Linked DNA regions of Astyanax mexicanus. The protein of the gene in region 1 interacts with the protein of each later gene in a pairwise test. Links are inferred from orthologs where the notes say so. Each region holds a gene or a part of one and is shown in the gene's direction. Other genes may lie near its edges. The genes, in order: psmc5, retinoic acid receptor beta, rorb and roraa.

Region 1 (7,210 bases):
TGCCAACTTACACTGAACACAACTTGGCTGATTACATTATTTAGGAAAAGGTTTACACTGTGCAAATTTGATTTACTATTTTAAACTATTCTATTGAATTGATGTAGATTAAAGCCATATCTCTGACTTGTCTTTACAGGTAAAAGTATAAGTCTACTCAGTGCTTAGAACATCTTGTGCTTTTTACATTCCATACAGCAGTGAAGCCACTGCTGTAGTAAATGATTGTTAAAGAGATTAGCTCTTCAGGTTGTTTTTGTTTTTAATGACACGTGCACTTGGTCATTATTACATTTGTTTTTGCGTGTACTTTTAAAACCCGACCTGTGAGATTATTGTTATATAAACATTTTTTTACTGCTAGTATTGAGATAGGTGCCATTGTCGAGAAGTTTCAACATGCTCTTGTACTTTTTATAATCAGCTGAGTGGGGTTAAACATTTTTTTGTAAGACAATGAAAATAATTGCATGTTCTATTTTGTAGTTTTTATATCAATCAAATGCTACTTTTCTACTTTTTTACAGGGCTGTTGTGTTTTTGTACAATAAAATTGTCTGCCCACACAAAAACTTTGTTTTGTGTAATTTTAATTAGGTCGGGATGACGGGAAGTATGATAATTCACATAATGTGCATTGACACATTGCAAAGATTTAAAACAGGTGAAAACAGGTGCTGTGGCCCAAACTGCACACTATCACACTAAACAGTGTATTAAAAAATCTATTATCATTAGAAATGTGTTAATTAATGTGTAAAATAAAGTGTACAAGTGTATGTTTAGAATGCAGCCATGGATTTCTCCAGAGAGCAAGCTGGACAAAAAAGTGTGAGGACTACTTTTCATTATTATTTTTCACCCTGATCTCACTAACACTTTTGCCACTGAATGTAATCAAATTCTCACAGTAATGCTTCAAATCTGGTAGATTTTTTTTCTAGACAGTAATGAAAGTATCCTACAAAATAGGATAAACTCTTATTTCAGCAGAAACAATAAAGGAGCAGGTGACCGAGTACCTTTATTTATATAATGCACATCTTTGTAAGATGTATACCTTAAGACTGTATATACAGTCATTATATAAAACCAGTGAGGCTGAGGGATGCAAGCTGCTGGAGTTTAGTACAGTGTCCACATAACTGCTGTCTTGTGGAGAGAATCAATAACAGTGTTAACAATAAAGGGCAGAAGCTCTCCTGCGGCTCTTTCTGGTGCTCGTTTCTGACCAAACAGGCCAGTCTGGTAATACCTGTCTTTGGTCTCAGCTTCCAGCTTCCTCCTGGAGTGCTGGCCTGCTGGGCGTGGCCTGAGAGACTGTTTACAGAAGGGCAGGCTTGAACAAAGTCGCATGGCTGTTGAGGCATGCAGGTGTAATGTAGACATGCTGTAAACTTAAACTTGGGCCTAGCTTAAAAAAAGTATGTTATGAATCAGGACGTAACAGTGCGTGTGTTTGTACCGAACCATCCATTATGGTCACAATTCGGTGCATGCTATAACTAGGAAACATACAGTGTACTTATTTGTACCAGGGTCAGGTGCAGAAAGTAGCACAGAATACACCTATGTACTGTTTAAAAATCCGACTCCCCGCAGAATCCGACTCCCCTTCGCGGGCGCGCGCATGACGTTAACTTGTGGGCGCAACTAAGAGACTCGCGATTTTGGTCACTTCTGTGTGTTAATTAAGCTTTATCTTTCATTTTCCTTCACATCAAACAGCACAGTGTAATCAAAAGCCAAATGAGGACTCTCATTGTGATTAGTTTGGGTAAACCAGGACAGTTTAATATAAGGAACTATACACAATGTTTCTCGCAGCATGCTTTTTAGTCATAAGGATGAGTTTTACATATTAAACACTGTTTTAATCCACAACTGTGAAGTGAAAACACAGCCGACGGTGTGTCATTGCACTATACGCTGACTTTTTTTATTTTATTTTAGTTCACACTTTACTGCATAATAAAGTCGCCTGAACCTAAAAATGATAGTAGCAGATTTATATAAATAGATTTGTGTTGAAATGCTAGTAGCTTTCACATTCACAAGGATAACTTGTTAAAATGATGTTCATCTTTTGCATTAACATATGAATGATTCACTTTTGGTGTCTTATCTTTCCTTGTACAGTAAACATTACATACTAAAGGCTTTATTGGAGGTTGTATAATTTTGGCAGTAGAGTATGTCCTGTGATGGATTTTACTTTATTTTATCTTTAATAGGGGGGCTTCTAATGGGGGGAGTATTTTGGCAGCATAATATTTTTATGCCTGCCGAAATTAACCCCCACCCCCTATGATCTCAGCTCTGCAGGGTTCTAAATGTCATGTAATTCATTTTACATACATGTCCTGGTGTGTAGAGTATGTCCTGTGATGCATTTCACTCTATCTTTAATAGGGGGGCTTCTAATGGGGGGAGTATCATTTTGGCAGCATTATTTTTATGCCTGCCGAAATCATACTCCCCCTATGATCTCAGCACTGCAAGGTCTCAATGTCCTGTAATGTATTTTACATACATGTCCTGGTGTGTAGAGTATGTCCTGTGATGCATTTCACTCTATCTTTAACAAAGGGGCTTCCAATGGGGGAGTATAATTTTGGCAGCATCATTTTTATGCCTGCCGAAATCATACTCCCCCTATGATCTCAGCAATGCAAGGTCTCAATGTCCTGTAATTTATTTAACATACATGTCCTGGTGTGGAGAGTATGTCCTGTGATGGATTTCACTCTATCTTTAACGGGGGGCTTCTAATGGGGGAGTATGATTTCGGCAGGCATAAAAATGATGCTGTCAAAATTATACTCCCCCATTAGAAGCCCCCCTATTAAAGATAGAGTGAAATGCATCACACGACATACTCTACACACCAGGACATGTATGTAAAATAAATTACATGAAATTTAGAACCCTGCAGAGCTGATATCATAGGGGGTGGGGGTTAATTTCGGCAGGCATAAAAATATTATGCTGCCAAAATTATCCTCCCTCCATTAGAAGCCCCCCTATTAAAGATAGAGTAAAATCCATCACAGGACATACTCTACTGCCAAAATTATACAACCCCCAATAAAGCCTTTAGTATGTAATGTTTACTGTACAAGGAAAGATAAGACACCAAAAGTGAAGCCCGCGAAGGGGAGTCGGATTCTGCGGGGAGTCGGATTTCGGCACAACGCCTGTCCCAGTTCTTACCCTAAACCCTGGGCCCCTCCTGGAAGCGTATTTGCAGGGCAGTGGGGCACCAGACCAGGATCGAGGAACACTTGCTTAAAGGTCTCATTCCATCATTTTTGTAATTTATTTTATTTATTTCATTCAAGTCAAGTCAAGTAGTTTTATTGTCAATACTGCATATGTACAGGACATACAGAGAATTGAAATTGCGTTACCCTCCTTCCCAAAAATTACAGCAAGTACCGAAAATAGATAATATAGGTATGGGATGTGTAGTGCATGTCCATTTTAAAAAGTTCTAGCACTGTGTGTGTGGTAGTACAGAGTTTCAGTACTGTGTTGGTGGACCCAGCACTTCTATATTCTGTAAATGAGGTGAAATCAATGAAGACAGATTTACACACTGCTGCGGTGATGCTCTCAGGATGTGTCACTTGAGTTACTATATGAGTTAAAGTGAAGGTAAAGAACTTTGTGACACATACAGCACTGAAAAAATAAGAGAACACTTAAAAATTATGAGTTTCTTTGATTTGCCCAAATTGAAAACCTCTGAAATATAATCAAGAGGAAAATGAACGATCACAAGCAATCAAACCAAGCTAATTTGCTTGGATTGCGTGGCATAAAGTTATCCAAAAGCAGTGTGTAAGATTGGTGGAGGAGAACATGCCAAGATGCGTGATAACTGTGATTTAAAAAGGGTTATTCAATCAGATATTGATTTCTGAACTTGGTTTCTTTGCATTATTTGAAGTCTGAAAGCTTTGCATCTTTTTTGTTATTTCAGCCATTTCTCATTTTCTGCAAATGAATGCTCTAAATTACAGTATTTTTATTTGAAATTTTGGAGAAATGTTTTCCGTAGTTTATAGAATAAAACAACAATGTTAATTTTACTCAAACATACACCTATAAAGAGCAAAATCAGAGAAACTGATTTAGAAACTAAAGTGGTCTCTTTATTTTTATCCAGAGCTGTTTATTACTGTCTATCTCTTTAGGGATACAGCAGTGAGGGACCGGGCTGAAGCGGCGGAGGGCTCCGCTGGAGGGCGCTGTCGAGTTTCTACAAAACAGACAGCCACTGCGCGCTGCGCTGAAAATGGCGCTGGACGGACTCGACCATGTAAGTGTTTCTGAGTGTAATTAAATAAATCTCCTGTTTATGATGCGGATAGCTGTTTGTGGCTTGTATCGTTTTTAATATATGTATTTACTGTGTAGAACTGTTAATACGGAGAGAATTAGTCCTCAGACTGTTCGCGCTGTGAGCCGAGGCGCTGCTTTGCTGTCTCATTGTTAGCTGGTATGCTAACGCTAACGTTGAAATGAATGGTGGTCAGCTAGCTCCTCGCGTGCTAACAGATGAGCAGCTTCTCCAGTATGTTAATTATTATATAATCTACTGCTTTCTCTTATTATTTTATTATTATAACTTAACAACTAAGACGCCGGACAGTCGTTAAACAAACAGGTCTCCTAGAAAAGTCGAGGTTTATATCTGGTGTGTGTGAATTGGTGAGTTAAGAACTGCTAATACAGTGCTAGTAAATTAACGATCATGTTTAATGTATTTTACTTTTTACACTGCCTTTAAATATCATGTATTTTCTTTTTTCATTATTGGTTCTTATTTTGCTGCCTCGGCTATAGGTTGTTATATTCGTATGTTCTCTATTTTAGCTTGGTTAACTAAGTCAGATTTCTGACCCTAGCCCTGAGTTTAACCCTACCTATCACCCGGATAACTGTGTGGATTCATGAATTAATCCTGCTATTCTTCTCCTTCTGTTCCTAAATGTCTCTATTTCTGTTGTTTTCTGCCCGTCAGATGGAGTTGGAGGAAAGTAAAGGTGGCTCAGGCCTCCGGCAGTATTATCTGTCTAAAATAGAAGAGTTACAGGTAAGGATAAAGATCTTTAGCTATACGTTTGACCCTCCAGATTTGCATTTGTGAAAATATGTAAACTAATTTGCTGCATCATTACTAGTGCATCAAATCCCTCAAAAAAAAAAAAAAAAAACAACTTTAATTGTTTGTGAGGTGTGTGCTTGTTGTGAGGTTTCTGCTGTCTCACTGTTATGGCAGGGCTCTTTTAAACCTAAACTAACATTAACCTTTACATTAACTTTAAAATAACCTGAAAGAGACACACTGGACAAAATGAAAATGACATTTATTGTTGTTTGTAACAAGGCATTTCATTTATATATTTTTTTCATTGCTTCGTTACATATAATGTACGTTTTGCTCTTTTTTCCCTTTATTTGTTTGTGTGGTGGTTGGTTAATTGAATATTCCTTAATTAGTACATATAATTCATAAATAATATTTATTGCTAAATATTATGCCACTTCATAATTTTTTTTAAACACATTTTTAGCACCCCTTTAATGTGGAAGTTTTAAAGTGTCTATAATATTTAAATTCTTCTGCTATAATTTGATGTTTTACCATCAAGTTTTATGTTTTGTTGTTTAACTCTGTCTTTTATGAACACAGCAAACAATCCTTGTGTATCAAATACAGATCAAACAATCCTCAAGTGTTCTATAGTCTCTGAAGATGAAACGGAGGAAAAGAGAGGATGGAAAGCTCTTCTGGCCTGAATGCAACTTTATGCCGTGTAGAACATGCATAAGCTGGATATCTGAGGAGAGGTTCCCAGCGCTTCATTTGGATATCTTGTTGTCTCCTAGTTTATTTACACTGGTCCCAGAACAGCATTGAAACTTCTCTGCCACTCAGTCACGTTCTCCTCATCACTTATTGTTAATGAAAACACGCTGACCTTCCTGATTCCTAAAAAAAAAGTACAAAAAAACTTCCAAAGTCTTGTCATTGTGACATTGTTAAAAAGAGAGCACACCCATTAGTACACTAATCAGTTTTGTCAAAAAACAATTATTCATATTTTGTTGTTTCTGTAGTTGACAGTGAATGAAAAAAGCCAGAATCTCAGACGTCTGCAGGCCCAGAGGAACGAGCTAAATGCCAAAGGTAAAACAAACACTGTTACCCTGTCTGAGTAGCCGTTAAAACTAATGGTGATGCGAAATCCTGTATCAGATATAATGAAGGACAGTGCAATTGAAAACCTGTTTCTAACCTGACCCTGTTATTGCTTGAAACATATATTTTCACATGAACTCCAACTTTGTCTAAGTTTAATGTTTGTGAATGCAGTGAATGAAGCCTGTGTTGTTGTTTTTTATTCAGTGCGTCTCTTGCGGGAGGAACTGCAGCTGCTGCAGGAGCAGGGCTCCTATGTAGGCGAGGTGGTCCGAGCTATGGACAAGAAGAAGGTCCTAGTAAAGGTGTGTTATGCTAATCTCTCTTACCACCCAACTTTTTTATTTGTCTTATTCATGCCTATATGAAACTGCTTTTTAAGTAATATTCTATTGTACTGTTGGGTGTTTAGGTTCATCCTGAGGGCAAGTTTGTGGTGGATGTGGACAAAAACATTGACATTAATGATGTAAGTCCAGCTCTTTAATTTGGACCAGCCTCACTTCTTTAAATTTTTGCTGTAACGGGGTTATTCCAGCAGGCTTGGTGAAGATTTTTGCATGAAATCCTGGCTGGTGATTAGTTTAAACTAATGTCACTATAAATAATGACATCAGTTCCCTTTTGTTGTTTACCTGTAAATTATTATTGCAGGTTGGTAAAAAAAGACATAAAATCCATTTTATTACGTTTATTAAAAATGCACATTATCAAATTAACATTCAGACATTTGATGTTATTTGTACAAACTAAAAGGTAGAAAATACATTAGTCCACAGGAGAAAAGGTTAATGTCTTTTTACAGGATAATACAAATAAAACTGGATTAAATTAAAAAGGAATATTAAGGCTATTCTTAATGATAAGATGATAGTGATTTGTAATGATTCTTGCTTTTCTGAAGCTGCCAGGAAATTAGAGATGCTGAACATTTAATATTATTTAAATGCTTAATCCTCAGAACTGTTTTGTAGACAGTATAACTCTAAGTGATAATTA
Region 2 (7,753 bases), on another chromosome or scaffold:
CAACTGTTCTGCAGTTGGGTTCAACAAACCTCTGGGCTGGAGAGCTACTAGTGTGTAGCACTAAATCCCATTACACCTCATTATACTTTATTTTCCAAAACAGATTTTTTTTTTGTGGCCACATAATGGAAAATATCTGGCCAGACCCCTGCTGTGTTGTATACTGTAGATTGGTCAAATTTTCTATTCTAAATCAGTTAAATCTTGTCTAAATCTCGCTGTGTTGTGTCGGTGCTGTCCCTCCCGTGACGTCAGGTCTCGTCCGACTTTATTAAATGATCAGGAGCTGTCTGGCGTCTCGCTCGAGTGAGTCTTGGCACGCGACACACGGAGACGCTGAGCAGCGATGCCAAAAAGTGGCTTATCTTGATGGAGCGGTTCATTATCACTTTCTAATTACAGGTGGATTTCCAGGTGGATCCATTACCTGGCGGGGCTGAAGGCTGAGCTGCGGAGGGGAGAGAGCGTCTGCAGAAGAGGGCGATGAGGAGGGCTAGAGTTACAGCGCGGGGGCCGCGGGGGGTCAGGGACCGTGTGCAGTGGAGGGAGGAGGGATCGGGGTTTTCTTTTCAGCTCCTCTGTCGAGTCTCTCCATTATTCATAAAGCAGCGGAGGATCGATCTCGCCTCGAAACCGAGCTCGCCTCTGAGAAACACGGTGCTGCAGAACGTAATGGTGCTCAGAGAAGAATGGAAACTAAATCATCATCAATTAGCATGGATGTTTTCTTTTCAACATGCCTGGAGATATTATACACCGCCTGCACTGACGATCAGCACCCCAGCCTTTCAAAATATTACTCACAGAAATGAATCTGCTTCAGTATTAAAGCGTAGGATTGATTTCTCAAGCATATTTACTGTTTATGAAAATGCTGTACCTGGAATAGCACTACTCTCTGTACAGGGGTACATACTGTAAACTTTTTGTGCTGTAATCGAGAGTCATTGCGGTGTTGAGACTTTTTTTTTTACAGGAAAGAACTGATTGATGACACAAAGCCACAAATTACACGATTTTACACTGTGAGAAATCTCCAACTCACCTGACTGCTCTCCAAAAACACGTTTCATCACGACCAGAACACACCAGAACTAAACACACTCGAGAACTATCGATGCTATGCTAGAAAATCTCTATAGAGAGGAGAATACGCACTTAAAGTGAGTCCAACATGAACGGTTTCATATAAATTTATAAATGTCTGATCAATTTTATACTAAAACATGTACTTATATCCTAAACACAGAACTATATCAAATGTTTCAACACTGCAAACAGAATTTCAAAGCCTTTTAAACTCTAAAGGCTCTAGTTCACCAACCAATCAGCTCATATTGCAGTATTGATAGCATCTCTACTGACTAAACCCTGAATGTTGTAGAATAATGGAATAATGGTTTATTTGCTTTGTTAAGAAACATTCATTATTCTACTTTCTAAATGTAAAGGAATACTCAGAAGAATATTTTGTAGTTAGCCACCATTTTTGGCTTTTTTAGCTCCATTCAGCTCTATTCATAGAGGACTCACTCATTAGCTGTAGGTTGGCCGCTGCTCCTGGCTCCCAGTCGCCGACTGGGTCAGATATCTAGCATGCCAAATTTTTGCTGTGTCTTCGACTGATCAGAGGTCAGTCAGCGACGGCTCAGCGAGTGTCTTTCAGTAGTTTACACTACATGTACCTCATAATCTCACAATTTACACAGAGCCTTTTTGCATGTAGGTGAATGGTATGTTTTTATGCCTTCTTATAACTCCTGGACGTTACTGTAGTTAAGCCTCTGCAGCGTTTCTACTTTTTACCATGACTTTAAAAGCCAGTTTGATTCACGTGTTTAAATTGCTTTTAATTTCACACTATCCAGCCAATAACACACAGCCGCGCACGAGAACATGCAGCCGGCCAGACGTTCCTTTAGGCTACGATTACAGAAATGACACACTCCATATATACTGCTGCACTTCAGTAGAATAAAGAGTGAACTGAATAGACTTCCCTCCTTATCTGTCTTCTGTTTTATCTGCACTACAGTCATGAGTGTGTGCGGTCACATTCCTCCAGCTACACCATTCACACCACAGAGTACTGTCTGAACAGAATTCAGGTCAGGGTGAGGTTTTAACCCTTAAAAGTCGAGTTTGTGCTGCAGTTTTGGAACACAGTTCAAATTTAATGTAAATTTTCTGTTGTATCTTCCTTCCTTTTATTACATATTTAGCGTTTATTGGTGCAGGATGGGCTTTAGAGCACTAATCCAAACCAACCAAAACTTCTAAAACTCTTCCTCTTGTCTAGCAGAACACACACACACACACACACACACACACACACACACATAGGCATAGGCAGCTACACATGTGCACTCGTAAGCAGTGAAGATTAAAGATTAAAGTCTTGCTCAGCTTCAGGAACATCATTTATATCCTAAGCGACTCCGGTAGCTGCGAAATTGGTTTCTAAATTTGGTGGATTAAGCAGCGCCGCAGCTCTGGGTATAAAGTTGTGTGAGTTGGAAGAGGGACAAGCGAGCGGCCGGAGCGGGAGCTAATGCGGTGTTTGGAGAGTCATGGAGCGATTCCAGACCCCCTCTGTTACTAAAGAGAGACAAGACGAGGCTTGTTCACATTACAAGCCTCATTAATCAATTCACATATCTTTACTCGGATTAGATCTGGATGTTTCACATTCATAAATCTAAGTGACCTGTTTCTAAGATGCATGAAATCTGATCTGATGTACACATTTAATCATGTTGCATGCCCACTAATCATATATGTATATATATATATATATATATATATATATATATATATATATATATATATATATATATATATATATATACAATCTAAGACCATGCAACAAAGTTATCAAAATTGGATCTCTTGTAAATGAAAAAGTATGTCGGCACCCACATTAGGTCAGTGGTTGAAATTAACATTTGCAATTAAGAAGTCACGTCAATTTAGGGAGATTTTAAGGGAGATCTGGGGTCAATTTAGGCGTTTTATGGAAGAGGATCCATTAAACTATTCATTAAACTATTTGAAGATTAATGTATGTTGTCAAAGTGTTTGATGTTGATGCTGACAATAGCACCATGAATTTTATTTTATTATTATTATTTTTATTGCTATTATTATTTTTGTCATCTTGTTATAATTGTGCTGTTTAAATAGCAAATGTGTGAATGGGGTATGTGTTGTAGCTTTGTATGTTATGTGTTTGAATACTATGTTTGGTTAAAAAACAAAGAGGCTTCAGTACACAAGGAGGGTGAGGAACACCTGGGACCTGTAACGAGGGGGCGGGGTTAAAAACAAGACACAAGGCAACAACAGTAATGACTAGGGGTGGGGCTAGAGCAGAGACAGGGCAGAGCACATGGGGTAGGAAAACAAAACAAAGCCATGTGTAAGGAGATCTGTGTCATTTTAAGGTAAAGAAAATGTGATTTCAGGCATTTTAGTCTGTCAGTGTGAACATAGGCTAAAGGTCTAATTTGGGGGCTGGTCAGTTTTATATGAAGTATTTTTAATGCGGTTTTAAAGGTTTTTTTATCGTTTTTAATATTCTAAATACTTCAAACATCAGATATATTCTGTATAGAATTGTGTGCGTGTGTGTTTGTGTGTGTGTGTGTGTGTGTGTGTGAAGGTCTGAACAGGTACGGTTGTTTGCAGTTGTGGCAATGTGTTTGTAATGTATTTTATAGTTTTTAATATGTCTGTTTCACTTTTTTATTGTAATGCATTTAAAAATCTGGATTACATCCTTATGCTTTTTAGAAGTAAAATTTTGGGTCTTGGGTCTTATCAGTATTTCTGTTACGTGCACTATTTTTTTTTCTTACCTTTCTTAATAACTTTTTATTTTTTTCCTTCACTGTGTTTCTTCATAATTTTCTAAGAGTTTCTTGCTTTTAAATCTTAATTCATTAGATTATTGGTTCCTGTTAGTGTTTCTTTCTCAAGCTTTTAATATTCTTAAAAAATCTTAAGGATTTTTTTTTTTAGTGTTTTAGTGTTTTTAAGTGTATTTTTTTTATACCTGATTCATTCTGGTGTTGGATTGTTTTGATTGATAAATATAGTAGAGCAAATTGTGTTTATAAATTACATAGTATTAGATATTTGTAGATATTTTAGATACATTTACTACATTTAAATTGCCTTAAGAAAGAGAGAGAGAATGAACAGGAAGGAAAATAAGGCCATTAAATTTCATTTAATTTGAATGTAAAATATATGCAGAAACCCTGAATTATTATTATTACACAAGAGTTAGACATTCTAGAAACGGTGAAGAAAATGTATGGGAGCCTTTCACAAAAATAAAAACCTTGTTTACACCCAAAAAGATCACAGAGAAGGGTGGGTTGTTTTTTTCCTGCTTTTGTTTTCTTTTTTATACTGCCCTCATATTTTCAGACTGTCTAGGCGCGTAAAAAAACATGTCCCATTGGTGAAGAAACCAAAAAATATATAAATATATTTAAATATTTTATTTGTAAAAAATATTCCGAAAAAATATCTTAAGTGTTTTTGAAGCTTTTTTTTTCTTCAACAAAAAAACAACAAAAAAACTAGGCTATCATCGAGTGTTGTGTTTTTCTTCTCTCTCTCTCTCTATCTCTTTATTCTGTGTTATTTTGTTTTCCACCCGTCTTCATACAAACCACGCCCCCTCATCGCCAAACCACGCCCTCGTCACCACAAATCCCCGCCCATAATCGCTGCGAGTGGCCGGCAGCGACTCTGAGTTTTGCGATTTTAGTCATTCCATCCAATCCTACTGCAGTAGGCGCGAACGCTCCAGCCAATGGGAGCACGCAGGAGGCGTGGCGTGCCGGAATGCGGGTGTGGCTCCGCAGCGCTCGCGCTCTCTCTCTGTGCGTGAGAATCCCGGGACTCGGTGATGATGTCAGAGCGCTGGGGTCATTTGAAGGGTAGCCGCCTCGGAGGGGTTCACGGAAAGTTCAGCCGCATACATTAGGCGATTCAATCCCTCACTCCGCGCGCGCGCGACACCGTACTGGTAGGAAACAGAGCTCGCGCGGAGGCAGGATGAGCCCATTCGTCATCTTTTAGGCTCGGAGACGTGATTTTGTAAATGAAGGAAAAGAGGAGAAAAGAGTTTGATGTTGAATTCGCTTGTTTCTGTGCTTGTTTTAAAGCAAAAACAGAGGATGACACGCGCTCGCGCATCGGCTTTTAGAGGGAGCGCGCGTGCTAAAAGGTCCAGCTCGTGAGTTGGAAAAGAAGCACCGGAGAAAAACAAGAACAAGGACTTGGATGGAGTTGGGGGACAGTTTGGACCGGGAGTAGGTCCGGTAGTCGCGCGCGTGAATTACAAAGCTGGTGCTCGTGCGTGCTGGTGTTGTTGTTTTTGTTGCTCCTGGTTCTGGTTCTGGTTCTGGTGGTTCTGCTGGTTCTGGGAGGAGGTGGGACACAGAGTGGACCCCGGTATGTTCGACTGCATGGACGTGCTCGCGGTGAGCCCGGGCCAGATGCTGGACCTGTACCCTCCGCCCCCGTCCTCGTGCATGCTGCAGGAGCAGGCGCTGAAGGCGTGCTTCCGAGGGCTCGCGCGCGCAGACTGGCATCACCGGCGCGGCGGCGCGCACTGTACGGTCAAGTCCTTTACACTTTCTCCACTTTCTCTATGTCTCTTCTTGTCCCTGTCTCACACACACTCGTACACACACACACTTTATTTTTTTGTTTTTAGTGTTGTTGGTCGGACCGCTCGTGACCTTGCTTGATTGCTGATATGACGCTCGCTTCTTTCTATGACATTGCTGCGTGTTGACATGACATGAGTTCATTAATTGGCGCACGCACGCGCGCCGCGGCCAATTAATTAATGCGTGCACATATGCAGCGGTGACAGTTATTTGAAGATTGTGCATACATTTAGTATAGGGCAGAATAGGGATGCAACAATCTCAAAAACATATATTGGTGCGAATATAGAAAGAATTACTGTGTTTCTAAAAATTAATAGTTTTTAAAATTAATTTTGAATTTTAAATTAATTAACTTTAATTTTGAATCGTTTAAATTTTTTGTATATTTTTCTTATTTAAAGTAAACGGAATGATAAAACTACTCTTTTAAAAATGTTTTTTTTTTATTTAACACTAAACATTTATAACAAAAAATCTAAACACATACATTTTAAAAGTACAAGAAATGTACAATATAAAATGTAAGCCTATTGCTTCCACTGCTTTAGAATTAAACATATTACATGTCATTAAATCCTAATAACAAAACACTCAGAAAACAAAGAGGGCTTTTTTAAAAATCAGGATACAAAACAAGGAATGTAGAAGGGAGAGGAGAGAAAAGAGAGAGAGAGAGATGAGGTTAAACTAGGTAACGTGAGGGTAGATTTAGAAGTTAAATAAATAAAAAAATAAATAAAAAAGAAATTTAAAAGGACATTCACATTGTAAATTAAAGCCCGCAGCACTCAGTCACTGTTTGCATGCATGTGATTTTTTATTTCATTTTTTTCTGTGAGCACCGATCCATTTCTCTATGTGCCACAATGTTCTGCACAGCAGAATTTGACAGTGCTACAGTACGTTAAAGCAATATTGAAAGCACAAAAAAGCAACAGTAACTCAGAAGTGAGTTTTAACAAGGTAAACAAGCTAATTCTAGGGCTATGTTAACTGCACTACTGCTCAGCTAAACACTACTACCCTGGTCCTGTAAAAGCTCGTGCAAGCTTAACTTTTTAGATGAATAAAATACACTTTGTGAAGGGGTAATACACTGTGTGTAAACAGATTCTAAATTTAATAACGATGCTGAAGACTTTATATCATTTCATTTTATTAACTGGAAAAATGAACTTAAACCTGCTGTTTATCAGCTCTGTGCCAGCTCTCTCCCACACTCCCTACTGGCACTGTGTGTAGCAGCTTTCTTGTATGCAACACCACCAGAGAAGGGGGCCTGTTGAAAATAAACATATTAGGGAAAAAATGCAATATGACATAATATAATATAATAATATAGTCACTGTTTGATTTTGTTCATTATATCAAATGCGGAAATAACTGAATATTTCGAGTTCTCAAAAATTCTGTGCATCCCTAATTTAAATATATTGCAAACGGATTACATGCATACATTTCTATTTTGTTTATTAGATTAGATATTTTTTACATGACATGCTTAATAATAAGAACATTACATCGTAGTCACAACTTGTTTTTATCTATGTATACACGACAGCATTATATCATGTAGCCATATATAACATATACAGCTCTGGAAAAAAAATGAAGAGAGCACTTCAGTTTCTGAATCAGTTTCTCTGATTTTGCTATTTATAGGTTTATATTTGAGTAAAATGAACATTGTTGTTTTATTCTATAAACTATAGTATTTGGTGCAATAACCCTGATGGTTTTTAATCACAGTTTTAGTTTTTTCATGCATCTTGGCATCATGTTCTCCTCCACCAGTCTTACACACTGCTTTTGGATAACTTTATGCTGCTTTACTCCTGGTGCAAAATTTCAAGCAGTTCAGTTTGGTGGTTTGATGGTTTGTGATCATCCATCTTCCTCTTGATTATATTCCAGAGGTTTTCAATTTGGTAAAATCAAAGAAACTCATACGAATTGTACTTTTAGTTTAGAAGTTTTATAGTTGTCACTTGTTTTATTTACTTGTAAGAATCCTTGTTTAATAATACTGTATGCAGCATTACAGCTGCACTCAGTTCACT
Region 3 (7,964 bases), on another chromosome or scaffold:
AAGTATAATGGAATAAGACGGATGATCAAAAGCCATCAAACCAAACTGAACTGCTTGAATTTTTGCACCAGGAGTAAAGGCATAAAGTTATCCAAAAGCAGTGTGTAAGACCGGTGGAAGAGAATATGATGCCAAGATGCATGAAAACTATGATTAAAAACCTTGGTTATTCCACCAAATATTGATTTCTGAACTCTCTCCGAATTTTATGAATTTTATGAATATGAACTTGTTGGCACAACCATCCCAATAACAACTATGGCAATATATTATATATTTTTTTTAAATCTAAAAAACACAGAATTTCACAGAGTAATTTATTTACATTAATCTGCATTAAAATTACTAATCCACATGCTTCTGTGCAATAAGACATTCTTACCAGAGAGGTCTCTAAATGTTTTCACTTTTTAAAAGACCTTCTAGGGCTGCATAATATATTATTTTAGCATCGCTTTTTCTCAACGTGCAGATGTGTTATAATACCTGTTATTAATGAAGAGACCAGCCACTGACTGAAATATGAATAGGATTTCTTGTGACGCTCATCCCCCAATTGGTGTTCCTGAATAAAGACGCACCAATCAGCTTGCTGGTTGTGCTGAGGGCAGTGGAGGGTCGGCATGCTAATCAGGAAGCCCCACTTTTCAAACGTCCTCTGAGAAAATTACAAGCTGAATTATCTACAGTTTTTTGCTGAACTCAGTGCTCCTCCGGTAATTTTAGTCCCGTCCGGACACATCTCTGAGTTTCGTCTCCTCGTGTTTAATAAAAGAGCTATTTGTCCACTGCCGCACACTGTATTTACACTTTGAGCGCATGGGCGTTTCCACGGAGATCCACGTAAAAAACACAACAGCGAGTGGAAATGGAGGAGCTACTGAACGCCGCAATGTCATGTGACCGAGAAAGACAATAAAAAAAACTCACTTGTTCTCCTGTTTTTTCAATTGCAGTCCGAATGTAAGAGTTTTTATCACTGAGGAGAAGTGTTAAATATTTTTCACAGTCGTCCCCCTGAGAAACTAATCCCATCCGGATAGAGCGTAAACTAATAAAGAGTTGGCTAATCATATATATTACCAGTATAGAGTATGTTTTCACCTAGAACATACAAGACTAGAATTCTTGCTTGAATTTCCCCATTTTTTACATTAGGAATTTGTAAAACTTAACTAGCAAGTAACAACATTAACAACATGAGCTCTAACAGGGACAGCTCCCCCATATGGAATTAATTTATTCAGAAGTTATTCATTTGTCCTCTGATTGGCTAATCAGTGAGCAGCAGGGTGATCGATTAGTGGATGGGCAGCCTGCTGATTGGCTGTTAGCTCAGCATTTGGTGGTTTATAGCATCCACATTTTCATTCATTTTATTTATTTATTTTTTCACCCTACATGATCTCATCCCAGTCCTGATGATGTAGTCAGTTTACTCAAAACGTTTTGATGGTCTTTGCAGTGACTGCACTTGAGGATACTTTCAAAGTTCTTGAAATATTTTGGATTGACTGATATTCATTCTTTCTTAAAGTATTTTTTTATTTAGTTTTTGAGTAGTTCCTGCCTCTCACAATATGTATTAGAACATAAATCAAATATTATCTATTCACTGTATACCTGTAACTACTACTTTACAACTGATGCTCTCAAACACTTTATTAAGAGACAAGAAATTCTAGTAATTAACTCTTGATGAGTTCAGCACAGCTGTTAACTGAAAGCCTGAATTATAAGTGATTCTACCTCATAAAGCTGACTGAGAAAATCCAACAGAGATATTCAGAGCTGTCTTATAACTAAGAGGTGCTACTTTGAAGAATGTAAAATATAAAACATATTTTGTTTGTTTTAAATAATTTCATATGTTTTTCTTCACAGTTTGGATGACTTTAGTATTAATCTACAATGCAGAACCTTTTAAAAAGTGAAAATAAAAATAAAACAATAAATTAAATGTCAGGTAGGGAGCATGACAGAAATGAGGAGAGCGTATGCACTTGCGAGTATATATTAAAAACACAGGAATAAACAAACTAAAAAATTAAAACTAAAACAAAAACGTACAACCAAGGATGAGGAACACAGAAAAAAGGGGACTATAAATATAAACGAACGAGGACAGTAAAAAGGAAACATGTATGACCAGGTAACAAGGGGGCGGAGCTAAAAATGAAAAAGTAAGCACACCAAAGACAGGGGCGGAGACATAGGATAAACACAGGGCATTTGTAAAGGTGAGTAAATAAACAAATATTAGGGCAGGAAAAATCACAGAGACAGAATCATGAGACACAAAATAGGACAAGACCTGAATTTTTTGTTAAACTGACACAGAGAACAATCTCGGTAACTGAGATGGGGAGTAAACGGAATCATTTCTACAGAGAAAATAATATTTAATATTGATTCTGATCTTTAATAAGATTTGCTACTTGTTCGTTTTTTGTATTTTACATTGAAGTTGACTTTTTTGAAAATGTAAGTGGTTCTTGAACACAATTCACAACGAACAATCTGTGTTCAAAGTTAAAAAAGATACAATTAAACAAGCATGATTAAATATTAATAAAATCCCACTGTGATAATCTTACATTCATTCTTTACATTATTTTACATTTAAGTTTTCGTGATTCAAGGATTTAGTAAAAAATGGTGAAAAACATCACCCAAACACACACACACACATATAGACACACAAAAAATATTTATATTAATAACAAAAAGATGCAGAGCTTTCAGACCTCAAATAATGCAAAGAAAACAAGTTCATATTCATAAAGTTTTAAGAGTTCAGAAATCAACATTTGGTGGAATAACCCTGGTGTTTTTTAATCAGTTTTCATGCATCTGGGCATCATGTTCTCCTCCACCAGTCTTACACACTGCTTTTGGATAACTTAATGCTGCTTTACTCCTGGTGCAAAAATTCGAGCAGTTTTTTTTCAGAGGTTTTCAATTTGGTAAAATCAAAGAAACTCATCATTTTTAAGTGCTCTCTTATTTTTTCCAAAACTGTGTGTATACTGTACAGTAGTTTATAGGTAGTAATCACTGTGCAGATGATACACAATAGAGATATGTAACTGCTGCTCAATCTGGTTTATAATTGACTTTTTCTGAAGGAGTTCCCTAAGGAAGAAGGGAAGTAGCTCTATCTGGGATCCAGCGGCAAGTGAACTCAAATCTGACCCAAAAGGGTTAGTGGGTCATGAGGTGGAGGATGCCGTGCATGGTTTGCCTGCACAGCCTTTGCTTCCTCAGCCTCTGCTGCTCTTCACATTCACTCCAGACCTTCTCTCCATCTATTTCATCTTAATATATATATATATATATACATGTACATATACAGCAAATAAGAGAGCACTTTTTCTTTGATTTTACCAAATTTAAAACCTCTGGAATATAATCAAAAGGAAGATATAAGATCACAAGCCATCAAACCAAACTGAACTGCTTGAATTTTTGCACCAGGAGTAAAGCAGCATAAAGTTATCCAAAAGCAGTGTGTAAGACTGGTGGAGGAGGAGAACATGATGCCAAGATGCATGAAAACTGTGATTAAAAACCAGGATTATTCCACCAAATATTAATTTCTGAACTCTTAAAACTTTATGAATATGAACTTGTGTCTTTGCATTATTTGAGGTCTGAAAGCTCTGCATCTTTATTCTTATTTCAGCCATTTCTCATTTTCTGCAAATAACATGCTTATTCATTTATATAATAGGAATTAGCTTAAAATCCCCCTCTCATCTAATTATAATAACAGTTATAATCTAAAAAGCTAAACTTAATAAACTCAAAATGCAGTAATATTGTGAGAATGTATACATGTTTAAAATATTCTAATAACGCTTGTAATAACAATGTAATAAGCATGCTATTATATATAATGAGTGTGTAATCTTTTAAGTATTACTAATGAGCATGCAAAGTGGTGATTATTACAGGTAGACAAGCAGAATGTGATGTAAAATCACATAAATCAATAAGTTAGAAACGTTATGCTCTTTGTAACAAACGGGGGAATCTGAATCTATGAATAAGCTAAAAGACTGACAACCAATGAGGAATCGCAGCTGATTATAATAACAGTTATAATCCCAGGAACTAAATTTATAAACCCTACAGAACAATAAAAGTCAAAATATTATTAAATTATAATTTTTGTTTGATTTAGATTTTAAAAATAAAACTTGTAGATATATAATAAGCATGTTATTTTATGTGATAAGCATGTAACTCAAAAACAACCAAACATTTTCTTAAGCTTCTCATTATTATTCATGAGCATGTAAATAAGCATTTGTTTGTTGCAGTTGGAGTAGGGGTCTAAGGATATACAGCTCTGGAAATAAAAATAAGAAAGCACTTAAAATTATTAATTTCTTTGATTTTACCAAATTGAAAACCTGTGGAACATAATCAAGAGGAAGATGGATGATCACAAGCCATCAAACCAAACTGAACTGCTTTAATTGTTGCACCAGGAGTAAATCAGCATAAAGTTATCCAAAAGCAGTGTGTAAGACTGGTGGAGGAGAACATGCCAAGTTGTATGAAAACTGTGCTTAAGAACCATGATTATTCTACCAGATTTTATTTCTGAACTCTTAAAACTTTATGAATATGAACTTGTTTTCTTTGCAATATTTGAGAGAGATAGCAAGAGAAGCTAAATGCTAAATGTATACATTCCAGTGCAATATAAAAGAGCAATAATGCGATGATATAAAAGTTATATTTTGTTATTTATTATTATATTCTACATTCTCTCCTCCAACTCTCCACAAACCACAGCCTCTCATCAGTGAGTGGGCGGAGCCTCGGTTCTGTACAACGCGCACGGAGACCCCCCAGCTCGGGCTCGTGCAAAGTGGGCGTGGTCGAGCTCTATCGTCCAATCGGAGCTCCTATGGGTCTCTCGTGCGCACCTCCCAACTCGCGGAGCCCCGCGCGAGCGGTGAAAACCTCCGTGGGTTCGCTGAGCCCGTTCAGGTCGCGTGAGAGTCCGCACGCTCGCGCCGAGTTTAACGGGGATGCTCACGCGCGCGAACCTGTCGCTTGGGCCGTGACGAGAGAGGACCAAACAAAACACACAGAGCAGAACAAATCAGAAGCAGAACAGAAACAGAACTACTTTTTTTCGGTTGTTGTTGTTTGTTGCCGGGGATCTTGCGGTTGTCGGTGCAGCTCTGCGGCTGTTGTTGTTGTTTTTGTTGTTGTTTATTGTCGTTGTTTTTTTAAAACCCCTTGTTTGGGTTCGTTTCGTCTCTTCATGACTGGGAGCGAGTCGCCGCCGACACCACCATGCGAGGTAGGAGCACGACTGTTTCTGACAGGCTGATTTAAATAATTAAAAAAGACTCTCCCTGGCCGGTCAGTCCGGTTGCAAAAGGGTGGGTTTGGGGTCTCTGGATGGGTTGAGATGAGACTGTGGATGAACAAAAAAGTAACATTTAGCTAAATGCCGAATACTGAATACTAAAAAAGGTTTTGATTAATTCTACCACTTTTTCACCATTGCATAAATTTTATTCTGAAATATCCTGAATACATTTTTTTGTATTTTTGTGTAAAGTGAAAGCAATTACCAAACAACAGTTTACAAATATGTATTGAACCTAATTTATTGAATTCATACCGTTGAAGCACAGTATATATACAGTATTTGACTTTTAGTTAAATTAGTTGTTATTCGAGGTCGAATTATTCGGTATTTTCTCTTTTGTATCAGCCAGACTGAACATTATTTTTTCTATTTTTTTCTTTATAATCAACTCCACAATAGACTGTATGTAGTAGCACTACAGGTGCAGGAAACACCGTAAAAAAACAAGCACACACAGACATACACATCGCTCGCGAACTGAACTCTGAAGCAGAAGCAGCGCGCCCCCCTAGGTGCGCTCCGTACCCCCGCGTGCATGCGCTGGTGCTCGCGTTAAAAGCTTCGCAAGCATGCAAGCTTATGCAACCGTGAACCAGCGGTGGAGTTTGACCTCCTCGCGGTGGCGAAATCCAACCTGAGAAATGCACGCGCGCATGCTGACGTTCACGTGCGTTTTGCTTTTATTGCGCTCGATTTCTTGCGTTACAGCCCCGCGTAGTGCGTGCATGGAGTGCAGTGGAGTCGGTAAAAAAAAAACAAATAAATAAAAAGAAAGGAAAAGACCCCGCGTGGACGAACAACTTTAGGGATCGGGCGTTGTTAATGTGGGGTCTCGGGTCGGTACGAGGCGCGCGCTACTCCGTCCGCTCCACTGACCCATTTCCGTCAGTCAGGCGCCACTTCGCGCCCACTGCGCTGAAGTGCAGCGCGCGGGGGACGACCACCGAGTCCGACCGATTATATAGGGCAGTTATTTTATTTAGCCTCCAAATTAACGCGTGAAACTGTTGTACAGAACTGTGTGTGTATATGTTCTTACATTCGTTTCATGTCTGAACGAAATTTTTTACTTAAAAATAATACATTTTGATGCAAGTAGCCTATAACTCACGCTCCTTGTATTTAAAGCACTTAACAAAACAAGAGAAATAATTAACAATAAAGCTAGCTAGTCTAGCTTGTTTGGAAATGGCAGTGATGATGGCAGTTTTTGAATTGTATTAAATAAATAAAAAAGTCCAGAGAATAGCTTATTTATCGGCTAGAAGTCAAACTAAATTAAAACTACAAATAAAGTCACAGTCTGAAGGAATGTTTAAAAATGCATTAGTAAAAGAAATGCTATGTTATAATTTTTAAAAAGTTTTGTAAAAACTAGCTTGTTCGCATCATAGACTCTAACCATTTTGTGGGTAAAATGCATTCGCTTCCTCACATTTTATGACACAGCTTAACCAGATTACAACTGACACCACAAACATATTTGTTCAAAATAAAATAAAAATAAAAGCAATATGTAAAAAGTTACTAATTCCAAACAGATTCGTTTTTAAGGTTAAAAAGTAGTGTATCTCTACAAACCAACGGTATAGTTTAAAAGTAAATTTTTAGCCACACAGACTTTGTTTATGGCTCAGACTCATTTTATCAGTAAATTATTTTTTTTTTTGGATTCCACAGAGTCATTTTGTTATAAAAAATATTCCAATGCTTAGCCTCACAGACTCTTTTTAAAAGTTATGTTGTTTGTCCTCACAAACTAATAGTTTTGTTTAGGCCTCACACACTCTTTGTGAGCAAAATTAATCATAAAATATTTTTGTGACTTAAATGTATATTAACGTCTAATAGGCTATAGGTTATTTTGGCTAAATTTATTTTTAAAATTGTACTTGGTGACTAAAATATGTCTTGTTTGTCTAAAACTCATTATGTGGATAAAGTGTAATGATCTCTCTATTTACTTTTTGTTTTATAGGATACAAAATTAATATATTGTTTAACCCCATTGGCTCATTTTATTTGTAAAACCTTCTTTCTATCTTTGGTTGGAAACAAAACTGACCTTGTTTGACCCAGAATTTTATTTTGTGATTGAGAAGTAACCTCATTTAGCCTCACAGACTGAAGTTTGTGACTGAAACATGCTTTATTGTAGTACTTTAAGGTGCAATGTTACTGCTTTGCAGCTCTTGGCTTAACCAAATCTTATATCATAACAGTTAATGATTAATTTAAAATTTAAAAACATATTTAGTCTAAAATATGATGATGAAGAAGACTAAAAAGTACTAATTTTAAGGTCTCACAGACTATGTTTATGATTAAAAATACCCGCCTATAAAAAATATTAGATTCCCAAACCCAGATTCATAAAAGTAAGCACAGTTTGGTTTAACTGGGAATAGAAGTAAAATAAAATGAGGATTTATAAAAGAAGGAATAAAATAAAAATAAAAGTATGAAGTTAAAGCAGCAGCTGTAGTGGGCTTAAACTTGGTTCATGACTGATCTCAAAGATTTGGAGGGTTTTTTTGACCCCTATGCAGTTTTATAGGGTGATCCC
Region 4 (7,835 bases), on another chromosome or scaffold:
CAGGCTGGTCATAGACATAAACATATGCCTCATACAGAGACAACAAGACATGCAGGAACATCAGCAGTACTGCAAGAATGATTTGTTAATCATAACATGCATGTATGCTTTGTTGTTTGGCAACAAATGACCTCATGCAAATCACCCATACAAGATGAGAGAGCAGATACGTAGCATTTGCTTTGTCACTGTCTATTATGATCATTACAATGAAAAGCAAATATCTGTAAAGTTCCTGTAGACACTGTAAGCTCATGTAAGTTCACTTAACTTAAAGAAGAAATAATGCAATGTGTTGCCCTAAAACACGTAGTTAAGCTTTCTAGAAGAAAAAAAATGATTAAATGTCAAAGGTACTTCAAGCTTCAAGTTTTATTCCTATTTTATTTTTATTTCCAATTCTTTGTTGTTCTTTTAGATGTTTTTAATTTTACTTCTCTTTGTTTTAATCATGTTTGAATCAATTATGCTTTATTCTTATTTTAGTTTTTATTTCCATTTTTACTGTTATTCTTTTACATGTTTTTTTAATTTGACTTCTCTACGGTGCATTATTCTTTGAAGAGTACCATAGAAGAACCACAATTTGTGCCTAGAGGAAACAATTACATATAAGGTTATTTTAGAACCTTTACAGTATGTGTTCTATTTAAATGATTCTTCACATTCTCATTTACATCTTGTTTACAAATATAGTTCTCTATAGACATATACAGAAAACCAAAAATAGTAATTTTATGGCTTTTTGGTACTTTTATTTCAGGAAATGAACAGTATATTCCAATATATTTAATACAATAGACATCTCTAGACTAGAGACTGTACCACATACAGTCTATAATAATTAAAAAATGTGTAGACTGTGTAATTCATACACATGGCATCAGTTTCTGAATGCTGCAATGCCATCAAAACTACATTTTCTTTCTCTGTATTTTCATCTTTTTAGAGGCTCACTTAAATATCTGCAAGTAGAATTGCACCCACTGTCATCTCACATGGCAAGGTATAATAAGTAATTGCTTTCTCCCTCTAGTAAAAAAAAAAGGAGAAAAATAAAAAATGTATTTTGCATGTCAAACTTGATTTCTTATTATGAAAATAAGGTAGTTGCAGATGCTGGTATGAAAGAGAGCCCTTGATGTCTTTCGGTGGTTTGAAGTTAGATCTCAATTTTATTTGGCTGGGGGCTATCATCAGTGTGTACGCAGTGTCAACCAAGCCTTGAAGAGAGGCAAGAAACAGCCGACGTAGGACCAAACTAGTTGATTTTCAGTGCTGGAGCTGCAAAGGTGCATTAGCTGTGAAAATTGCAGTAATTGGGAGCCTTAGCTTTTTCTTGAATTGTATATACTTTACTTGAAAAATAGTCAAATTATACTAATGCAGAATTACATAATTATAAAATAGGTACACATATTATGACACACATCGGTAGCTTACTTAGAGAGGTTTTACTGCTTGTGGTAATTATGAGAAATGGCTTCGTAATGTTGTATAATATTGTTTTATCTTAGGTGCCTTCATGAATACAGAAATATAAGTAACTAAATAACAAAAAAAATCTAAATGATGAGAAGTGGTATGCAATAAAATAACTCATGTGCTAGGGAATAAAGTAACCTACACAATTTATTTTTCTGGTGTTTTTATTTAAGCAATACTATAAATTAGATTAAAATGTAATACAATTAAATTAAGATTTATTTATTTTTTATTAAAATGATAATCTGGGCTAATCTGCAGATTTGTAATAATATTATATAAAATGTATTACATAAGATTAATAGCTAAATGCAGATCAAAGCATTTCTGTTTTAGAAAGGCCTGATTTGTAGTGGCTGCACACTAATACAATACAGGGCCTATATGAACGATGCTGAATCTGATTAGAAGGGGAAAACTGCCTTTCCTTTAGGCAGGGATCACTAGAGGTCACTCCTTATTACAGTGCCCTGTGATAGGCCATGTGACAAGCAGTCAGTAATCTTTGACTTTGTTCAAATGTGAACCTATTGGCTTGGCCCTATTGTGTGTGTGTGTGACCGCAGTCATGTTTTCCAGGGCTATGATGTAAATGTATATGTTAAACACTGTCTAGCTCTCCATGCATTGCTTGACTACTTATTAGAGAAAGACTATGGTGATGTAAAGTGGCCTATCATAAACTAATACACTCCACACCCTTCAAGTCAAATAGCTTGACTACATGCTTTGCAATGTTTGGCTCCACTGCTTCTATTGCTTCCTAATAGTGATAACAGTCTGCAGGTGATTGCCACCATTAGGGCCACCTGTTCAGGAGAATGTGAGTGGAGCTGGGTGTCTGTATTTGCAGAGCTTTTACAGGTAACTGCTCCTTTCTCTGAAGTGTGTCGCTTAAAGGTTAACTGGCTGACGGCCGACCATGCCAAAGTCCACGTGCTCTGCTGTGAGGGGGCGGAGCTCGGCGCGCGGGCTCCGCCAGGGCCCCGCCCCCTACACGACTGCGCACGTGGGCTTTGAAAGCGCCAAGTCGACGAGGATGTGGAGTTTTGGGGAAAGAGAAGCAACACCATAACCGAACCAACAGCTTTCGCTGCTGCTATGTCTGCTTTCTGTCTTTAAAAATCATTAATACACCCCCAAATATGTAGAGAGTGAATTTAGCTAGGCAGTGTTTTGATCAGCTGGCGGAGTCCGTGCTAATCTAGACCAGTTTAATCTACTGAGGGAGACAGATAAAGCTGCCCTCCAGCAACCCTCAGTGCTCAGAGGAGAGTGCAGGCTTGAGAAATTTTACATTTTACAGAGACAGTGAAGGGTTTTTTGGATTTTGCTCATAATATAGTATATTTTAGCTTTGTTTCATGCTGTATAGTTGAAATACAGATCATTGTTAAAGCCAAAATTGCCAAAAGTTAGTGTTGCTTTGGGTATCCAATCCATCTGACAAAAAAGAACACAGTCAAGTCTAATTTAATGAGTAATTCAAACAGTTCTTAGTAATAACATTAGACACTACATACTATGACATATAACATGACAAGCTACATGCTATAAAGTTAGCAAATAGCTAACTTTTAATGTTAAAATTAGCAAGATAGCTAGCTAACTAATGCACTCTAATGCTTTGGCTAGCTAGTTAAATATAGGTTAAATGGCTAGTCTGTAGAAAATAAAATAATAATTTAAATAACATTAGACATATTACATTATGTAAGGTGCTGCTTAACCTTTAGTACTTAGCATTTTCAGTGTTTTATTGCTTTGTGGAAAGTTCAGATTTTACAAGAATGATGGTGCACACTATGGCTGCAATAATATTATATATACCTGATTAGCAGTGAAATAGTAATATTACTGTCTTAACATTAGCTTGGGATTGGGCTCATAAATTCTGTAAACTTGACATACATTGGAGAAGCCAAGACTTCCAATTGGGCATAGCCCAGCTTTGTTTTAGGCATGTACACAGTAACCTGCCAAAAGTCTCGGGATAGCAAATGTTTGACCAAAAAGTGAATGGTCAGTGTTCTCATGGCAAGGGGACATAAAATATCAAAGTTGAAGTAAGGCCCAATTGTGAGTGCTATTGATATGGAGGGCATTACCACTCACAGTGGACAGTGCAGTGTGTGGTGATGATGGTGATCGGCCGTGTCTGGCTACAATTATACCTGCAAACAGACAAGCAAATCTGGCAGAAATCACAATATTCAGAGCAAGAAGCATATCCTGCAGGTCCGGGCAGCAAACAACATAGTACACATTTTAGTGAATACAGACACCAAAGTATTTTTTATTATGTGTAATGTACTTTTTTTCTATAATATATAATTTGAAAAAAATCTAGGGAGAAAACAGTGTGTAGAAAAGCTATTAATTATTAGCAATAATTAATATTAATAATATTAGTTCTGGAAAAAAAAGAGACCACTTAAAAATGATGAGTTTCTTTGATTTTACCAAATTGAAAACCTCTGGAATATAATCAAGAGGAAGATGGATGATCACAAGCCATCAAGCCAAGCTAAACTGCTTTAAGCTTTGCACCAGGAGTGGCATAAAGTTATCCAAAAGCAGTGTGTGAGACTGGTGGAGGATAATATGCTAAGATGCATAAAACTGTAATTAAAAACCTGGGTTATTCCACCAGATATTGATTTCTGAACACGTAAAACTTTATGAATATGAACTTGTTTTCTGTGCGTTATTTGAGTTCTGAAAGCTCTGCGTCTTTTTTGTTATTTCAGCCATTTCTAATTTTCTGCAAATAAATGCTCTAAAGGACAATCTTTTATTTGGGAGAATTCAGGAGAAATGTTGTCTGTAGTTTATAGGATAAAACAAAAATATTCATTTTACATATACCTATAAATAGTAAATTCAGAGCTGATTCAGAAACTAAAGTGGTCTCTTATTTTTTTTTCCAGAGCTGTATATAAATCGGATGGGTAGTGAAATAGCAATGTCAACATTAATATTACTCTGAGTTTGGGCTTATAAATTTTATATAATTTTTTTATACTTCAAATATAATTCTTAACATGATCCCAAATAAAAACAAATACATTTAGAGAGAGACATTCTATTTACTTACTATTACATCGTATGATTGTTTTGTAGGTTGCTAATTTCCTTCCTGCACGTGCCTGCTACTGAGAGTGTGAGACGCAAAGAGCATGCAGACATTATCATTATCTGTGAAGCACAATAGTCTAATAAAAGAAATAAGGACATGAAAGAGGGAGGCATCGTTCAGCGTGTGTGAGAGAGAGGGCTCCTCCACCGCTCCACATCCATTCATCGACTATTGACAACCTCTCCCTTTTCTCAGTTGTCTGACTGGAGCTCTCACTAGCGCTGCCAGTGGACAATCAGACCTACACACCCACCTCTGGCTACACTCGCGTTTTTTTTTTGAACATTTCTTAGTTCTGCTCTAAATTTACACGGCTAGGCGAAGTCCTCTTAGCTCGACTAAAATCTCGCCGCGACGCTCCGTGATCCACTGGAAGACAGAAGAGGAGGAGAAGGCAGAGAAATCCGAGATACAACATGGAGTCCCCTCCAGATCCAACCAGCGACCCGGGCAACAGCGCCTCAGAGTCGGCTACCCCGGTCAGGGAAACCCCGGTAAACCTGGAGACTCTCCGCAAAGCTGAGCACCACCAAGCCCCCCCGGTCAGGAGACAGAGCTGCTCCAGCACCAATAGAGGTAAGAGAGGCCAGCGAGTTTAGTGTAGTGTAGAGTCAGAATCAGCGGCGCGAGCCATCGATTCGCCTCAACACTGAGGGATGCATCAAACTTCAAAGTGAATCAACTTAAAATCGTGGAGGAGCTGCGCCTCAGATGGGTGTTTAGCGCTTTATATTTCACAGACACGTTCTCCCACGTTTTAGAGAGCTCGTGCACGCCACGCTGTATGCTCCACCGTGTATAAAAGCACGTTTAATTGTAGCTAGCTGGCTAATATAGTGTGGAGTTGGGCTGCCTCTGCTGCTTCTGCTGCTCGCGTAACCGCGGCTGACAGACAGACGAGCAGGCAGGCAGGCAGGCAGGCAGGCACATAGGCAGCTCTGAGCACTGTGGCAGGCTGGGTGACTGGCTGGGCTGGCTGTGACACTGTCTATGGGCACCACTGATTAATGACTTTTTTGATTTAATGACTCAAACGGCCCCTCGTTATCGAGTTCTCAGCTCAGATCAGATCAGAGCGTACAGACACAGTCGTGCTTTATTAAAAGTAGTAACGTAGTAGGGTAGCTAGCACGGGTTTAGATATATGGCAGCACTGATTTATTCCAATACAAGTTCGCTGGGCAGTTTTTATTCCCCCAATCGCATAACTAATTCAGTCTATGATGACAACAATATTTCACTCACAGCACTAGCAGATAGCTCCATAACTTGGAGTGTCATATATCGAGTGTGTCTCTGTGTTTCTTTGCACACACACACACGGGGTGCTGGGGTGTGTGTACGACTGTGCAACTGTGCATTTTTCACGTTTGCTGCTTGCTGCCGCTGCTGTCAGTGGAGCTCGGCGTGTCGGTGCACGCGCTCTCTCGCTCTCCTTCTCATTTCGGGCTCGTGCGCCGCGCGGACACTCCACGCTAACGTGGGAAAACGTCAAAAACAAGCATGCATGCAAGAAAGCAGCACAGCAGGATGAATATGCATGTGTGTGTGTGTGTGTCACTGGTTGGTTGTGGCCGGACCACAGCCCTGTTCGTGGTGGTTTTGGCGGTGGTCGGCATTATATCATCATGAAGCCCAGCATTACAGCATTACGAGCAGGCAGTGTGAGAGTGTGTTTTACAGTAGAGACAGTAGAGAGGCTCGTTTAGCCACTCCCCCCAGTCGGCATCCTCCATTCAACTTGGCTAACTCGTCCAAGTTCGGCGGAAAACAAATAATGGGTTTGTACGTTAGCACGGGGTTAGCACACAAGAGGTAAAAAAAAGTGCGAGGGGCTGAAACTTTTGGGGGCTCGTGCAGCTCGCACTTTATAAAACCAATAACGTTAGATCATTAATGGGGAACCATAATATATCATAAGGTTATGGCAACGTTTTATTTTCGAAAAAAAAAAAAGTCTGAAAAGTCATAGATGTTCCTTAAATTATAAGACAATATTAAACCTTATCCAGAACTTAATTTAAAAGTTGCCTTAATGTTTTTTGTATCATGTGTATAAGATTAACTTTTAAGCAACATTTTCAAAAAGTTTCCTTATGGTCCAAAAAGATAGAAGCATAAAACAAGCACCTGAGCTAGTTTTTTTTTGCACCGTGCATTACATACATAATATTATAAGATTGTTATCTTACATGTTCTGAACGTTCTTGCAACTTTTATAAACATATTTAACATGTTCAAATCCCATCCAAATGCAAGATAATTTTTGTAAGGTTTCTAATGTAGAAGAGAAGGCACGTTTTCTGAAATGTTAGGAAAACGTTCCCAGAACTATGCCACACAACCTAACGTTATATTTCAATTAAAAGAAAAATTTAAATCAGAAGGGGCAACCTGCAAAGTTCTTTAAAAAATGATTCAAATATTTTAAGGAAACATTAGGGGAATGTTTCCAAGCCAAACGTCCTGTAAAGAAATTTGGCATTTCTGTAAAGAAAACTTTCCTGGGGAACCAGAGGACAGCCAAACATAACTTTCTCTAAAGGTTTTATGGTACCACTTTAAAATAAAGCTCTTTTATAAAGGTTTTATAAATAATTTATAAATGAGTTTGTTTATGGTATATAAATTAGGTTATAAACTATTAATAAGCTATAACAACACATAGAAGGGCAACAGTGGCCTGTTGTTTGCCAAATAGTGATTTCACATTCATTTATACGGTTAAACTTAATATCTTACTAGATGCAGATGCTTATCTTACTTTGTCTTTTCCATCCGTCAACATTACCATATCTGTTATTAACTTTAATGACCCAGATTAATAATTTGTCCAATAATCATAACACTGTGTTTAATAGCATAAAATAACATTAAATAACTAAACCGACTTTCCATATTATTATTTTATTAGATATGTTAATGCTGATTGAAGAAAGGAAAAACAAAGTATGATATGTTTTATGTGCTGTAACTTATTATGAATGATTAATAAAGTATTTTTAAACTAACTATTGATAAACTTTCTCATAGACTATTTATAAACCCTTTATAAAGGAGCCTTATTTTAAAGTGACACCTGATTTTAAAGTTTTACAATGTAAAGTTTATGGGAATGTTAATGCAGGGTTCTCTAAACGTTTCAGTCATTTGAAGTTATCATAATAATATTGCACTTCGAAATGTTTCATGTGAAATCAAGGGGCAACAA

The links.
Region 2: the proteins of psmc5 (region 1) and retinoic acid receptor beta interact in binary tests that used the Homo sapiens proteins (3 or more experiments, as listed by UniProt). The link is inferred for Astyanax mexicanus from reciprocal best matches to the Homo sapiens genes PSMC5 and RARB.
Region 3: the proteins of psmc5 (region 1) and rorb interact in binary tests that used the Homo sapiens proteins (3 or more experiments, as listed by UniProt). The link is inferred for Astyanax mexicanus from reciprocal best matches to the Homo sapiens genes PSMC5 and RORB.
Region 4: the proteins of psmc5 (region 1) and roraa interact in a two-hybrid assay, tested with the Homo sapiens proteins (3 studies listed by BioGRID and IntAct). The link is inferred for Astyanax mexicanus from reciprocal best matches to the Homo sapiens genes PSMC5 and RORA.

Annotation. Positions count from the first base shown.
Region 1 is NC_064422.1:21,903,911-21,911,120, reverse strand, and holds the start of psmc5 (26S proteasome regulatory subunit 8), read left to right. Parts: upstream 1-4,193; 5' UTR 4,194-4,300; coding exon 4,301-4,324; intron 4,325-5,029; coding exon 5,030-5,101; intron 5,102-6,129; coding exon 6,130-6,199; intron 6,200-6,418; coding exon 6,419-6,516; intron 6,517-6,623; coding exon 6,624-6,680; intron 6,681-7,210.
Region 2 is NC_064410.1:607,444-615,196, forward strand, and holds the start of retinoic acid receptor beta, read left to right. Parts: upstream 1-4,745; 5' UTR 4,746-5,471; coding exon 5,472-5,631; intron 5,632-7,753. UniProt on the Homo sapiens protein: Receptor for retinoic acid. Retinoic acid receptors bind as heterodimers to their target response elements in response to their ligands, all-trans or 9-cis retinoic acid, and regulate gene expression in various biological processes.
Region 3 is NC_064429.1:7,764,077-7,772,040, reverse strand, and holds the start of rorb (nuclear receptor ROR-beta), read left to right. Parts: upstream 1-4,946; 5' UTR 4,947-5,316; coding exon 5,317-5,323; intron 5,324-7,964. UniProt on the Homo sapiens protein: Nuclear receptor that binds DNA as a monomer to ROR response elements (RORE) containing a single core motif half-site 5'-AGGTCA-3' preceded by a short A-T-rich sequence.
Region 4 is NC_064409.1:56,481,398-56,489,232, forward strand, and holds the start of roraa (nuclear receptor ROR-alpha A), read left to right. Parts: upstream 1-4,830; 5' UTR 4,831-5,040; coding exon 5,041-5,200; intron 5,201-7,835. UniProt on the Homo sapiens protein: Nuclear receptor that binds DNA as a monomer to ROR response elements (RORE) containing a single core motif half-site 5'-AGGTCA-3' preceded by a short A-T-rich sequence.